Stegostoma tigrinum: one gene and its partner. The protein of the gene in region 1 interacts with the protein of each later gene in a pairwise test. Links are inferred from orthologs where the notes say so. Each region holds a gene or a part of one and is shown in the gene's direction. Other genes may lie near its edges.

The links. The genes of interacting proteins can lie anywhere in the genome.
Region 2: the proteins of exoc2 (region 1) and ras-related protein O-RAL interact in a two-hybrid assay, tested with the Homo sapiens proteins (2 studies listed by BioGRID). The link is inferred for Stegostoma tigrinum from reciprocal best matches to the Homo sapiens genes EXOC2 and RALB.

Annotation. Positions count from the first base shown.
Region 1 is NC_081355.1:15,617,320-15,625,539, forward strand, and holds the start of exoc2 (exocyst complex component 2), read left to right. Parts: upstream 1-4,873; 5' UTR 4,874-4,930; exon of another isoform or gene 4,931-4,972; intron 4,973-5,019; exon of another isoform or gene 5,020-5,247; intron 5,248-8,220. UniProt on the Homo sapiens protein: Component of the exocyst complex involved in the docking of exocytic vesicles with fusion sites on the plasma membrane.
Region 2 is NC_081360.1:89,329,537-89,338,186, reverse strand, and holds the start of ras-related protein O-RAL, read left to right. Parts: upstream 1-5,141; 5' UTR 5,142-5,242; intron 5,243-5,794; exon of another isoform or gene 5,795-6,153; intron 6,154-8,650. UniProt on the Homo sapiens protein: Multifunctional GTPase involved in a variety of cellular processes including gene expression, cell migration, cell proliferation, oncogenic transformation and membrane trafficking.

The DNA of each region.
Region 1 (8,220 bases):
AAGCCCTGCAGAACAATCCAAACATTGGGACATCATCTTCAACAAATGTATCATCTGCTCCAAGTTGACCCTGATAGAAGAATGGGCTGCGTTGTATCTATGTTTGGCCTCAGTTACGGGACTATGTAATGAAATAATTAGCAATGGTTGCAGAAGGCAGTACTTGTCTCCCAGTAAGCATCTTTGTTATGCATTCAGCCCTTGGAATGAAGCAGGAAATAAGACTTCTCAAGAATACATGCATCATGATGCAGAATTCTAAGGTGTGGTATTGATGGTCACAGATGACCTGCACATTAATCGAACGTAAGTCTTTTCTCATAATGAAGCAAACCATGTTATGATATGGCACTCTCAATGCAACATGTGTACAATCTATAGTGTTCTGCACCTGGAGGATGCCAGATATGTTGCCAAAGTCTACTGTCCGGGCTGTAGTACTGACCTTATCATTGGTAAATGAGATAAAACAGTGTGATCAGTAAGAATCTTAATACATTTGTGGATCAAAGGTTGTTAGGTGCCCATACAGATTCTCAGTGGCTCCTCAGTGGCCAGTTACGAGCAAGTTTAGCATCCACACAAAAGAAGGCAATTGCTCAGCGGTGTTATTGCTGGACTGTTAATTCAGAGGCCCAGGTAATGTACTGGGAACCCGATTTCGAAACCTCCCACGGCAGATGGTGGAGTTCTTATTCAATAAAAAAAATCTGGATTTTAGAGTCTAACGATGATCATGAATCCATTGTCAATCGTTGAACCTATCTGGTTCACTAATGCCCTTCAGGGAAGGAAACTGCCATCCTTACCTGGTCTAGCCTACATATAACTCCAGACTCACTGTAATGTGGTTGGCTCTTCACTGCTGTCTGGACAATAACTGCAAGCCCAGCCAGAAATGCCTTAATTCTGTGAATATATTAAGAAAAAAGTGCTGCAGCTTCAATTCCCACATTTGTCATAGTTCTGTGACAGTATCCTGAGATATCCTCAATCTGCAGCAAAACTGCACCTTGTTCCTCTGAGGGAAATGGCATGTAGCACAAAAGGCTCTACAATGTATAGGAAGGTTAGAGACAATTGTTGGAGGATCAGACATTTTCCTGCTGACATTGTGGATCTCATCACTGCCTATCTCACCTGCTTTACTCAAAATTCTTGTCAATGCCCTGACTTTCAGGAACTGGGAAGATTCTGCCTTTAATGTCTGGGTTTTCTGAAACAAAAATCAATCCTTGATTATCCTAAACTGAAAACAAGCTTCAATGCCTTCAGTGATTACTCTACCTGCCGTAAACCACCCCAGTACAAACAATTTTCCATCAACTCTTCACGGCATTCCTGCTCTCTGACACACACTGGATTAGATCACTGTTCAAAAAACACTGCCTCAACTAACTTTCTTCAAAAAAAACTTCATAAAAGGAGGTCACTATCTTAAAATCCAACACCTAAAAGTGATATTCATAAGCTTGTACATATTTCACACATACCTCTTTTGTTTCACCTACCAACTTTGTTTGCATTAAAGCCCACATGGTCATTGGCCACTTTGTTTGTTTAACCACTTTCTCAAATGAGATGAGAAAGGCTTCTACATTCTTCTCGTCAAATTCAAGCAATGCTTGGATATATTTAAACATATTTCCCACCAGGCCTTTGGCTACAATGGGTTTGCTCCACGTCACTACCTTCCTCACTAAGCCTACCTGCTACCTTCACCTCCATCTTTCTATGTCAAGTTTCCTGTCTAACTGCCAACTTCTAAAGTTCAAACTCTCTCTCTTTCTTCTACTAGAGCCTTTCTCTCCTTTTCTATTTGTTCTGCCAGAGTGATTCTTTCCTTTTCTCTTTCTTCTGTTTTCAACCATAATTCAAATTATTTCAGTTCAAGCTGCTTCATCTGCAATTGAATTCTAGCCATTTCCAAAGATTCCAATGACATTTCCTGCAAACTTAAATATCAAGCTGTTGCTGTAATGATCTCTCCTTTTCTTGTAAAGACAACCCCAAATACAGCTTGTCTGCCAATTCCAACAACTTTGCCTTGCTCACCTGTTGTGAATCTCCCAAAGTAACTTCTTCTACCTCCGGAGAACTCCTAGTGACTGAAAGAGGCATTACCACACAAAGCACTGTTTGAACCAACCAAATTCACCACCTGAAACAAAAGACACAAACCCCTACCACTTCCCACCTTTGAGTCTAACAACCCTAAAGCCAAACTGGAATTATAGAATTATCCTGACAAGAGGCCCCAACCTGTTATGGACCAGGCCAGACCCCCTCAAAATATTTTAGAAGGTAGCCTAGATCCTAACTTTTCCTTATTTTAAAGGTGGATGTAAAGTGGGTGTTCCAGCTGTGATGTAACTGGTCAAACCACTTGGCTTAAAGCAAAACACAATTTATTAAAACACTACAGTTAAAACATGAACAAAAGAAAGTAGAATTTAGAATAACTTAAATATAGGAAAACTTAACCAAATACTCAATACAGTAACTTAACAAATAGCTGTTCCAATATAGTAACATTGCATAAACACACTCCTTGGCAAAAAGGTAAATTCAAACACAGATCGCACTGGCAGGAGGGAACAACAGCCAGAGAGATTCCAGAGAAAGTCTGCTTAGAATAATTTACTGAAGCTTGCAACCCTCTGCTAATCAAAACATTTTGTGACTGCCACAGCGAAAAAAGTTCAGAAAAAAACGTGAACTGGGTAATCGGCCATAACCCTTCTAACTGTTACTTCCTGGTCTCTTCTGTACTTCTACCTTTACAACCTCTCTTCAAAAAAACTAAGAGCAAAATAACCTTTTTAAACTGATAGCATTGTCACATACCGCAGAAGTCTTTTACATGCCTTTGTTACCTCTACAGTACACAATGTTCATTCTCTTCCATTTAAACTTAAATCCTAAGCCAGCAGCCAATGTCCCAAACTGCAACAGGCCTTGCTCCTTCATTATCCCGGATGGAGCTGATTTACACTGGGTTGAGCAACACCTTGAATTTAAAATAGCCATCATTGTTTCCAAAGTCTACCCATTTCCTTGCTTCCTCATATCTTTGTTACTTCCATCAGCAATACAACGTGATAAAATACCTGTTCAATTTACATATTCACAAATTTACCAGCACTACTATTGGCAGCCCCTTCAGCTGCTCAGGTCATAGTAAAACTCTGGGAATCTGTCCATAAATTTCTCTGTCTCTCTTTCCTTCTTTTAAGAAACTGTTTATAATTTGAATATTTTTAGGCCTTTTATGTAAGGAAAGATATATTAGCATTGGAGGCAGTCCAAAGAAGGTTCCCCAGGTTGATCTGGTGTAGGGAGACATTTTCATATGAAGTGAGCTGGAGTAGCTTGGGCTTGTACTCATTGCAGTTTAGAAGAATTAGAAAGGACTTGCGAGGGTAGATGCACACAAGTTGTTTCCCCTTGTAGGAATGTCAAGGAACTGAGTGCATAATCTTAGTGTTCAGCGTTGCCCATTTACGACAGAAATTAGATAGATTTTATTCTCCCAGAGGGTGGTAAATCTATGGAATTTCTTGATGCAAGGCAACCAAGGATTTTGGAAATAAGGTAGGAAAATGAATTGAAAGGAGGACTTGAAGGGTTGACTGGGCTACTTCAGCTTCTATGTCTTGTTGTCTTATATTGGCTTGGCCACTGGTGAGAATGCTGTCACTCTTCTTTGAAAAAAATAGTGGGATGCTTTACGTTTAACTGAGGGAAAATGAAATCTTTAGGTGAAAACCTGATTGAAAGGCCCTCGTAGAACAGCCAGTTGTCTCCTACATTTAGCATCAACCTCCAGATAACTATTGAAAGCAATCTGGATAATTTGAAATATTATTTTAAGCAAATAAATATGCTGTAAACAGGTACTGAGATGGGTGGCACACACAGATCATGAATCATATTGGGTAAAAGTTTTCTATGGTGTGTATTTGTAGGAGAAAACATATGTACACTCTAGGTTGATGGCTTACTCGACAAGGGGTGCTCAGCAGCCACCCTTGCTCGTACATTGAGTGCAGGGAACACAGCACTTCTGCAGGAAGCAATTGGCAGGTCTTGGGATCATGTATCTAAATGAGCATACAGGCAGCTCTTACTGCCTGGTCTTGGGTCCCATTTGTTTTTACACCATAATCTGCAAAAATGAAAACCATGAAGAGAGAGCAGGCTACGGTTACCCCAGTAGAAGCAAAGTAGCTTCTCCTCGGTACCCAGGGTGTGTATCCAGGGATATCATCTTTCATGGATGCCTATAAGTTTGTATTTGGCACAAGGCAAGGCAATGATTGAATTCGGGTAAGCATTTAGCTTTATCCGCCCCAGAAAAAAATATCATGATTGAGTGATGCTTGAACATGCCGACATTTCTGTGGCATTACTCTACAATTAGCGAGGGTGGGGTGCATTGAAGGGTAGGGACAGACCTTTCAATAGTGGACAAGAATAAGCTGCAGATGCTGGAAATCAGACACACACACAAAAACAGAAATTGCTGAGGGGTACGATGCACAGCCGGTCTATGGAGAGAAAGTAAGAGTTGATCAGGTCCAGTGATGGTTATTTTTGCTTCCATCGCATGATTTTCCTCCTAGTGTCTGACACAGAAAGCTCTGACAGATTCACTCCCCTGCAGCACTGCACCAGCATTTAGTGCCTGAGTTCCAAAACGAAGACTTGCACCAACAGCCTCAAGCACGGCAAAGCAAGGAGACTAACGACTACACCACACTCGCCAGCCAGCACGAACGCCCTGGCAACAAGATGCGGACCTCATCCACGCCGCAACGGAGGAGGTGGTCACGTGACCTACCCGTTACACCCATTTCCCCTTCCCCCGGCGGTGGTTTACAGCTTGACCCGGATGTTGTTTTGCGTGGCCGGTGATGGAGCAGTGCGGGTGAGATCGGTGGGGCGAACGATTGACTGACTGACTGACTGAGTGAGTGAGTGAACGAACGAACGGGAAAAGCGCTCGGTCTCCATTGCACCCTGGTTGCCGGCAGTTACCGGTCTGGTCCGGTGTAATCCAAGCCCCGGTGGGGCTCGCCCTGACTGGGTGGGCTCCTCCGGGACTGAGGTGGAGGCTGGGCCGCCTCTGGGTTAAGGTCGTCCCTGACCTTTGGTGTTGCACCGCTGCAGCCCCAGGTCCTCACCGCAAGAAGCTCAAGTCCGATTAAAACAGGCCGTTTTTGTTTTGCCCAGGTGGTTTGACAGGTTCGTTTCATCTTGTTAAAGTTCACCTTGTTTGATGCTCTGATCGCCGCAGTTGATTGATTTCACTGTCCGACTATTTATTTGATTAAGCCAGGCCACCGCGAACAGTAAAATTGCCATAGTCCTACCAAACCATAGAAAAGACGACCGCTGGTGGTTTAACTTGAGGGTTACCACACTTTAGACAAAGGGCGAGCTGGAAAAGGTGGGGTCTTCATGGTCACCTCAACTGGTGCGGGAACAGTTGTGATGAGTAGAGAAATAGTCTCGAAACGCGTGGTGATCCAGCTTATTCTTTTCAATCTGAGCGTGCGCTGGGCAAGATCAACATTAGCATGGTCAGCATTATTTGAAGTTAGAGTCCATTCATCATAAAAGTGAATGGAGTCATCTTAGGCTTCACGGGTTAGGCATGGCATAGCATTGTGGAACAAGTGTTCATATTCAAGATCCTCTTGGTTGTTAGGTGATTAATGCTGTCATGAAAATGTACCGTGTTTTATCTGAGGACGCGATATTTGCCATGAGCAGTCGATTTTTAATCTTTAGACTAATGGTAGCGAAATGAAATGTTTGTTAGTTGACTAATTTGGTGGTTTTCAGCTTGCCAGTCAGTTGGAAGCTATAAATCTAAAAAACACAATTTGTACCTGCTACAAAAGGAAATTTAAAAGATTTTTTTAAGCTGAACACAAAAAATGTCTGTCCAGATATTGAGATCTCCAGGTAGTTTTCAACCTCGAGAAATAATTGGCTTGTTTGGGAAAAGATGTGGTTAGTAAGTTGATACATACGCATGATGTGTGCCAACAGCCAGATTTTTTTCTTGTAATTTGATGAATCTATGATATACTGTGGAAAGACTTTTTTAAAATTCACTCTGACTTGCTGTTGTAGCCGTAATATTTATATTGCTGGCCCAGTTCAGCTCTGGTCAATGGTAACTCCCCAAGATGGCAGTGCAGAATTCAGTGATGATAATGCCATTGAATGTTGAAGCGTGATGGTTAGATTCTCTGTTGATGATGCGCATTGTCTAGGCATATTTCTGGTGCAAATGTTACTTGCCACTTCTCAGCCCAACTGTGGAATATGTCCATGTCCTGTTGCATTCAGAGGCTGAGGAGTTGCGAATGATAGCGTGTTTTATCTGAGGACATGATATTTACCTTCAGCAGTCAATTTTTAATCTTTATACTAATGATAGCTAAATGAAATGTTTGTTAGTTGACTAATTTGGTGGTTTTCAACTCGCCAGTCTTATGGTCGAGGGAAGCAGCAAAGTTGAATGGGCTTTGGATATTCCCCCTAAAGAACTTTTGTGTGAAATGATTTTAGTGTCTCTTTCCCTACAATTTTTAAACTGGTTAACTGTTGAAGTATAGGCTTATCGTTGTCCAACTTAGAAAGGCTGCACATATCTATCTAGTCATAATCAGAAAATTATCTGCGATGGCTACTTTCTCATTCTGACATTGCTAGCCTGAGGTAACAATGACCTATGCTAGGTCTGCTCTTATTCTCTTGCTGCCCCTCTGTGACATTCTGTGAAAGTACAGTGTTAGATTCCTGCATATACATTGGCAAAACACAGCTTCACTTCCTCTTTTACCATCTGCTGTCTTGAAATTTTCTGATGATATGATATCCAGTACTTTCAGTAGAACTTTTTATTTTCAAACTGAATGTTGAAAAGACTTTAATTATTGTCTTCCACTCAGCCTGAAATAACTGCAGAGAAGTCGCGTGCCATCACCAAATCCCCTTTTATTTGCTCTTGCATAGTCCACTGGCTGCGGCCAGTTAGTTCGGAGTCAGTCCTCAATTGGGAAGATTCCAAGCCCCTGGTTATTTTCTTTTCTGGCTTTTTTTTTGTAAATTCAAAAACCAGAAAGATACAGTGTCATAAACACATTACATAGCATCAGTCACTATACATAAAAATAAGTTGCCAAAGAGCAGAGACATTTAGGATAGAACGTCCTAAACAATGACATCTGAATTTAAACAGTAAATCCAAAGTCCACATTAAGTTAGTGACTTAAACACACCATGTGGCAAAGTCACTAGGCAACAAGAAATTTTGTCGAAGAGCAGAGACGTTGACGTAGAACGTCGTATAGAAACACATCTTATTTGCAACAGTAGTACAAAATATTACAAGTAGACATACATTCAAGTCCACATAAGGTTACGGAGTATCAAACACGATACGTGGCAAAGTTCCTATGCATCAAGGCAAGCTGCTAAAGAGCAAAGACATGGAATTAGAATATCGTATAGAAACATCTCATTTCAAACAATAGTACAGAATGTTATAGATAAGCGCGCATTCTAGGGCTATCGGTTGGCCTGCACATGGACCAGCAAGATACAAAGGCATGATGCATACACAAAAGCATATTCTAAACAGGAAGGCAAAGTCCAGCACATGAAAGCTCAATCTTGGACCCATACACTGAAACTTGTGTCACAAAGTCTGGGTCCTGTTACCACGTTACCCTTTCATTTTACCTGTACAACAGTACCACTGGCTGTAGTGAGCCAGCTCTGAGTCAATCCTCAATTGAGGAGATTATAATCTCCTGATTATATCGGTCAGCTAAATCTTTTCTGATTGGCCCAGGTTAATAACCCCAATGAAGAACCTTGTTAATGATGTCAACCTATTTCCCAATCACTACACAGCCCCAACTGCTGTCCTCCAGCTTCGGGTTCCATTCCACTCCCTGGCTATTCTCAAGTGGAGTCATACTATTTGTAACTGTACTCACATTGGACTTCAACATGAGCTTCTAATAACTAAGGCTGTCTGCTTTCCCCTCCATAATATTGTATGACTTTGTGCCGACCTCAGCTCACCAGCTGCTGAAACTCTTAATTTGTATTTTTGTAATCTCTAATCTTGACTATCCCATTGCATACTTGGCTGACCGCTTAACCGACATTCTTTGTAAACCAGAGTTCATCCAA
Region 2 (8,650 bases), on another chromosome or scaffold:
AACCAGAAGGCAAAGTACAGGGCTAATGGTAAGATTCTTAGCAGTGTAGATGAGCAGAGAGATCTCGGTGTCCATGTACACAGATCCTTGAAAATTGCCACCCAGGTTGACGGGGTTGTTAAGAAGGCATACAGTGTTTTAGCTTTTATTAATAGAGGGATCGAGTTCCGGAACCAAGAGGTTATGGTGAAGCCGTACAAAACTCTGGTGCGGCCACACTTGGAGTATTGTATACAGTTCAGGTCACCGCATTATAAGAAGGATGTGGAAGCTTTGGAAAGGGTGCAGAGGAGATTTACTAGGATGTTGCCTGGTATGGAGGGAAGATCTTACGAGGAAAGGCTGAGGGACTTGAGGCTGTTTTCATTAGAGAGAAGGTTGAGAGGTGACTTAACTGAAACATATAAAATAATCAGAGGGTTAGATAGGGTGGATAGGGAGAGCCTTTTTCCTAGGATGGTGACGGCAAGTACGAGGGGGCATAGCTTTAAATTGAGGGGTGAAAGATATAGGAAGATGTCAGAGGTAGTTTCTTTACCTCAACGGTAGTAGATTCGCCAACTTTAGGTACATTTAAGTTGGCATTGGGCAAGCATATGGACGTACATGGAATAGTGTAGGTTAGATGGGCTTGAGATCGGTATGACAGGTCGGCACAGCATCGAGGGCTGAAGGGCCTGTACTGTGCCGTAATGTTCTATGTACCTGGCCCTGCACTCATCCCTGGAATACGTGGTCAACAAGGATATCTATGTCAGGCTACTATTATCCAAACCTTTTCATTTGTATTCATCTGGTACAAATACAGGAATGCCAAACACCAAACGACCAAATGAATTTACGTTACAGAAAAAAAAGGAGCTTGCAAGCCAACTCTGCCTGAGGCATTGCTGTGGAGAAAGAAAAGGAGTACAATAGTTTCCCCAAGCCCATGGTTGGTTCAAGTAAGACCCAGTATGGACCATATTCCTTTTAGCTGTATACATAATGAGACCCTACATATTAATCTAAGTCACTTCTAGAAACCACAACAATGCACTAGTGAACTACCCCCAGAGAAGCAGATACTCCATCATCAAGTCACCATTTACCTGCGGAGAGTTACAGAATCATGGAGTTATAGAGATATGCAGCATGAAAACAGCCCCTTTGGTCCAACTCACCAGATATCCTAAAACAATCAAGTCCCATTTGCAAGCATTTGGCCCATATCCCACCAAACTTTTCCTATTCATGTAACCATCCAGATGCCCTTTCAATGTTGTAATTGTACCAGCCTCCACCACCTTCTCTGGCAGTTCATTCCTCTGAAAAAGTTGGGCCTCCACCCTGGGGAAAAGATCTGGGCTATTCACCATAGTCGATGCCCCTCATGATTTTATAAACTTATATAAGGTGACCGCTCAGCTTCTGACACTCCAGGGAAATTAGCCCCAGGTATTCACTTGGCTCTGATTCAGCTACCGCAGAGTGAACAGGATGTCAAGGGTCTCGGCCTGAAACGTCAGCTTTTGTGCTCCTGAGATGCTGCTTGGCCTGCTGTGTTCATCCAGTTCCACACTTTGTTATCTAGGATGTCTGACACTCCTGGTTCTTATCTGTCAGCCACGGCTCCCAAATTAACAGCCCTGATCTGTCCATCTGGCTGACCTCATTACAATCACCACAGCCTGGTCTGAAACATGATGTTACATAATTGTGTAGCAGGCAGAAAGTTTTTTCTGGATTTATTGCAATATCCTGCAAGCAAGAAATACCAATTGTGTGACTTTTGCATAGTAATAGCTTGCTTAAATCACATTTGGAGATACTTTGTTTTCCAGGTTAATTTGCAGCGGACTAGGTACTTCTGGAGGTCCAAAGTTAGGGACCTATGGCCTATTTATGTCACTACTAGAGAGGATACATATGTTAATGTTAAAGGCTCCATTGATTATTTAAAGTTGGCTGCTGGTGTAGCTATTAATGCTACACTAATTATCAGTTTGCATGATACATAGCAAACAACACCCTGATCAGGATGACCACTGCCCCAAAGAGAAGCATTGGTGCACTAATGGCATACTGCATCCATTGTACACGATGTGGCTTCCTCTACATTGGGGAAACCAAGGGGAGGCTTGGGGACCGCTTTGCGGAACACTTCCGCTCGGTTAGCAATAGACAAATGCACTTCCCAGTCGCGAACCATTTTAGCTCCCCCTCCCATTCCTTAGACGAAATGTCCATCCTGGGCCTCCTGCGGTGCCATAATGATGCCACCTGAAGGTTGCAGGAACAGCAGCTCATATTCCGCTTGGGAACCCTGCAGCCCAATGGTATCAATGTGGACTTCACAAGCTTCAAAATCTCCTCTTCCCCCACTGTATCCCAGAACCAGCCCAACTCGTTCCCTCCCGCCACTGCATCCCAAAACCAGCCCAGCTCGTCCTCGCATCCCTAACCAGTTCTTCCTCTCACCTATCCCCTCCTCCCACATCACGCTGCACCTCCATTTTCCACCTACTAACCTCATCCTGCCTCCTTGACCTGTCCGTCCTCCCCGGACTGACCGATCCACACCCCCGCACCCCCTCCTCCCCCCCGCCACCTATACTCGCTTCTCCACCCATCTTCTCCTCTATCCATCTTCAGTCTCCCTCCCCCTCTCTCCCTATTTATTTCAGAACCCTCTCCTCATCCCCTTTTCTGATGAAGGGTCTAGGCCCAAAACGCCAGCTCTCCTGCTGCTAAGATGCTGCTCGGCCTGCTGTGTTCATCCAGCCCCACACTTTGTTACTTTGATGCACTATTATCAGTTATGTTGGCCCTACATTCCCAGTGATCAGGTGATCAAATCAAACTACATGTTCCTTTAATAGTTCTTTATTGACACATTGCAGGATGCTCTTGCAAACAAAGTATCAGTTAAATGTAATTCAGCCAGTACTGCCCAACTGCAGAACTTTCCTGTACATTAATGGCTACACTAACAGCCAATATAAAATAATCAATGGAGCCTTTACCATTATTATAGAGACTTGTGTACACTCTCTTGCAGTGCCATACATTCAAAGCGATCCATTCTCTACACAAAGAAGGATTATGTTTATGCATTGACTTCCCCCCAGCCCCCCACCCCAGAAAAGTCACCTGGAACTTAGGGAGTCTATAGCCCCTCTTGTTTTCTCCACGGCAATGCCTCAAAGGTCAATTTGTAAACCAATCAGAAGCCCTTCCTCCTGCAGTATAAATTGTTGTGCTCATTTGAAATTTGGCAAACTTGTGTTTGTCCTGATGAGCACAAGAAAAACACTTCAGTAACACGCTTTTCTTTTCAATAATCTCTTCAGTCCGAGGGTTGTAAACCTTTATTATTCTCAACCAAAAGGAGTTGAGGATGCTCCATTATTATATGCAGGTAGATAAACAGTTGTTTAATTTACCAGGGAATCAAGAGATACCAGGAGAGAACAGGAATGGGACAAATCTGCTGAGAATGTATTCAAAGGCACAGCAGGATCAAGGGGCCAAGTGATCTGCTTCTGCTTCTATTCAGTATAGTCTTAAAGAACAATTGTGTAACTGCTGCTCTGTACTCTGGCACAAACATTAAAAGGGGAAGAAGGACTTCCAAGTAATATTTTAAATGAGTTGTAATCAACTGTACTATACAAAACTTTAGTTACCCCACACTTGGAATACTATGTCATTTTGGTTGCCACACAATAGGAATAATGTGGAGAGGATGTAAAAAAAAAAAAAGAGGTTCACCAGGATGTTGCCTGGACTGGATTGCATTAGCTATAAGGAGAGCGTGGACAAACTTAGACTCATGAGAGTATCGGAGACTGAAGGACAACCTGATAGGATATAAATTTATGAGAGGCATGGGTAGGGTGGAGAGTCAGAGTCTTTAATCGAGGGTGGAAATATCAAATGCTAGGGTTTAAAAGTAAGTTGAGAAAAGTTCAGAAAGGAGATGTGCACGGAAAGTTTATTTTAGAAAAATCTAGAGGACAGTACACGCCCAGAATGTGCTGCCGGGGAGCTAGTAGGGGATTAGATAGTAATGCTTAAGAGGCATTTAGACAGACGCATAGACAGGAAGAAACAAATGCATATGGACCATGTGCAGGCAGGTCAGATTTCCTTAGAATGATATAAAGGTTGGCACAGAGGGTAGAGCGAAGAGTCTGTTTTTGTGCTGTACTCTTCTGTGCTCTGTGTTCTATGTTTTATGAATTACAGCCTCTGTCATTTCCGTTATCAGATCTCAGTAATTGGCTGATGGAGGTGGGGTGGCACCATGCAGCTCTAACTGCACGGCAACAAGGAACAGGAGCAAAGTTTTTACAAAAAGCTCCTGATACACCTCAAAAATTGCATGCCATATAGACATCATATAAGATATTGATCAAATTAAATGACTAAATATCTTCTAAAAATAGCTGAAAAGGGCAGCCCTGAAGAAAAATCAGAACTGGGTAAACAGCTGTAAAACACACAGACTATATAAACATAGTAAATACAATTTGTAAAATATCCAAATATCATCAGCACTGTGAAGGATTCTCCCAAGGGCTCTTGCCAAATGACTTTATTTATATTTCTTTAAACTAAATCGTGCTTTGCTGTTGGATGCAACTTTGAAAGCAACACTGAAGGGTCTAGGCCTGAAACGTCAGCTTTTGTGCTCCTAAGATGCGCTTGCCTGCTGTGTTCGTCCAGCTCCACACCTTGTTCACTCCAATTCTGTGCATGCGCACACAGTGGTATTATCATAAACATGACACCCATGAGAGAAAACAAGAAACATGCGGCACCAAGTTGCCCACAGTAATACCATAACCAGATAACGTGTTCATTCTGTATTGTCAATTGAGGGATAAATATTGACCAGGATCTCAGAGAAAGGTCTTCTGCTCCTTGAAACAGTGCCTTTGGACCTTGTACATCTAACTGTAAGGGGAAACTGGGCTTCAGTTTAACATCACACTTGAAGACGGTATCACTGACACCCCTCAGTACAGCTTTGGAGCACGAGCATAGGTAATTATGCTTGAGTGTCCGCCCCAGTTGCCTCTGAGTCACAATGTTCCAGGTTCAAATTCCACGTCAGGACCAGTGCACAACAAAAAACAAATCTGATACATCAGTGTTAAGTGAACTCGGCACTGCCAGGGCATCAGCCTTTTCAACAAAACATTCAACTGAGGACCGTCTGTCTGCTCCGTGGCCATAAAAAAAATCTCATGACACTGTAAGTACTGCCCAATGTTTATTCTCCAAAAAACACTACAAACGCATATTAACTGGTCATTATCATACTATGTTGAGGGTTTGCTGTGAGCACGTTAGCGTGTTTCCTACACTACAACAGCGACTACAAATGTTCAAAAAGCAATTTACTGGTTGCACAGCCCTTTAAGGGTCATGGAAAGCGTTATACAATTAAAAGACAATCTCTGGAGCGAACCTGACTCAGGGGATCAAAGCGTGACAAATAAGTCAAGGCAAGACATTCAAAAGGAAGACCTACAACAGTGGAGGGGTGGGGTGAGATGAATACGCAAAGCTAAGAACCAGACTGTTTAACTGCGAGTTTATACACGCCCGAAACGTCGTTATTTAAAACTATAATAAGGTTACGGGAGAGCTACTGGCTGCGTCAGACTGACTGAATCCACCGGAGCACTTTACTATTGAACAGGGGTGGAGCAGCATGACGAAAACACAGTTCAACTCCAAATTCGGCCGTTTAAAAGCAACGTTAAACTCCGCGCAAATATTCCAAAAGTTAGGACATTTGTACCTTTGCGTTTCTCTCGAGCCAAATCTATAGACTGCACGTGGAGAGAGTGCACTCCTGCTTAAAGGATACAATAATTACTGTAATAATAGCAGTTTCAGAGTAGCAGTCCGACGCTAAGAAATTACCCGCTGCTGGTCACGAAGTTGTTACAATGTCTCTCAATCAGGGTCAACATTCCATTCGCCCCAGCGCCCATCCCCTTGTAAGACTATCTGAACACTTCAGGGATCCCACGGGGAACGTCAAAGTTAAAACGCATTTATCCACAGCAAATGCTAAGTGAAAAATAACAACTCTTGTCTAGTCGTAGCTTCAGTGTGCGCCAAGAAGTTCCTGAAAGCTTAGGAGGTACCTCGCAGCTGTCAATGTTCAGCTGCTTTGCTAACGGCGTGTCCGGTGCTGCCTCCTGCAGTCCTGGATGCTCGACAAACGAAGCGTGGCGAAAGAGGCGAGTCTCCCTGCAGCTCCCCGCCCCGAGTAGACTTTTGGATGAGAAGATTTTTTTTAAAAAAACAAAAAGTGTTGGAGAAACTTGTGGGGCGAGACAGGATCACTATGACTTCTCAGTTCTCGGGCTCAATGGGAGTTGAAACGTTAACTTTGTTTCTCTCTCTTCACAAATGCTGCCACACTTCGAGTTTCTCCAGCACATTCTGTTTTTATTTCAGTTTTCCCGCATCCACGGTGTCTTGCTTTTAAACAAGCACAGAGCATGCTGGAGAAACTGGCAGCATCTGTGGACATAGAAACAAGGTTAATGTTTTAAGTCTGGTATGACTTCTTCAGAACTGGTGTTTTGTTCCATTTAAGTGTTTAATTTCCTTAAACCAGCGCGCCCCCCCCCCTCTTATTATAAGAGGGACATCACGTAGAGTGATGAAGAGGTGTACAGCGCAGAAACAGACACTTCAATTCAACTCGTCCACTCCACACCACATTCGTCCAAATGTCTTTTAAATGGTGTAATTGTACTGGCCTCTACCACATCTTCTGGCACTGTGTGAAAATGTCGCCCTTTAGGTCCGTTTAAAATCTTAGCGCTCTCACGTTAAACCTGTGCCCTCCAGTTTTTGGACTCCCCTGCCTTGGGAAAAAGTCCTTGGCTATTCACGCTCCTGGCACTCCTCACGATTCTGTAAACCTCTATAAGCTCACCCCTCAGTCTCAGATGCACCAGGGAAAATAGCCCCAGCCTTCAGTCTCAGCAACATCCTTGTAATTTTTTTCTGAAGCCTTTCAAACTTGGCAAAATCTTTCCTATAACAGGGAGACCAGAATTAAATGCAGTATTCCTGAAGTGGCCTAAACAATGGCCTGTACAACTGTAACATGACCTCCCAACTTCTTTACTTGATGCACTAACCAGTAAAGGTAATCATACCACACACCTTCATTATTCTATTTACCTTCAACTCAAATTTTAAGGAGCTACGATCCTGCACTCCAAGATAACTTTGTTTAGCAACAGTCCCCAGGACCTTATCATTAAGCGCATAATTCTTGCCCTGATTTGCCTTTCCAAAATGCAGCACATCACATTTATCTAAATTAAACTCCATCTGCCATTCCTCAACCCATAGGCCCATCTGATCAAGATCCCGTTGTACACTGAGGTAACCTTCTTCGCTGGCCTCGAAACCTCCAATTTTGGTGTCACCTGCAAACCTGTTCACCATATCTCCTACCTTCACATCGAAATTGTTTATATAAACGTCAAAAATCAGTGGAAGCAGCACTGATCCATATGACAACCCGCTGGTCATAGGTCTCCAGTCTGAAAAGCAACTTTCCAACTTCACTCTCTGCCTTCTGCCTTCGAGAGTTCTGTATCCAAACGGCTAGATCTCCAGATATTCTAAACTTGCTAACCAGTCTACCATGAAGAACCTTGTCGAACACCTTACTGAAGTCCATAGAGATCATGTCCAACTCTTTGTTACTTCTTCAAAAACCTCAATCAAGTTAGTAAGACACAATTTTCCACGCACAAAGCCATGTTGAAGATCCCTAATCACACCTTGACCTTCCAAATACATGTAAATGTCTCTCAGAATCCCTTCCAGCAACTTGTCCATCACTAACTTTAAGCTCACTGATAGATAGTTCTTTTGCTTTTCCTTACCAACTTTCTTAAATAATCGCTCGATGTTAGCCACAGTTTGGTCTTCCGGCAGTACAACTGTGACTATTGAAGACACATAGATATCTCAGCAAGGGTCTTAGCAATCAATTCCCTAGCTTCCCACAAAGCTCTGGGATGCACATAATCAGGTCCCAGGGATTAATTTCACCTTTATGCTTTGATGTGATTTGATTTAATGTTGTCACATGTACCAAAGTACAGTGAAAAGTTTTGTTTTGCGAGCAGTACAGGGTGATCATAGCAAACAAGGACATATAGATCAGAGGCTGCTTAGACAGAGCAAGGAATACAAGGTTGTGGCTGCACAGGAAGTGCACAAAGCAAACATTTTAAGACATCCAGTACCTCCTCTTCTATAATATGGGCACTTTTCAACATAATTCTATTTATTTCCCCAAGTTCCCTAGCTCCTTCTCCACAGTAAATACTGGTGCCAAATATTAATTTAGTTTCTTACCCATTTCTTGTGGTTCACCACGTACACAGCCTTGCTGATCTTTAAGGGGCCCTTTTCTCTCCCAGTTACTCTTTTGTCCTTAATGTAATTGTAGAATCCCTTTGCATTCTCCTTCACCCTATTTTCCAAAGTTAGCTTCCCTATTTGCCAAAGCTATATGTTCCTTTCTTGCCCTCCTGATATCCTTCTTGAGTATACTTCTACTGCCCTTATACTCCTCTACGGATTTGGTCAATCCTAGCTGTCCATACCTGCC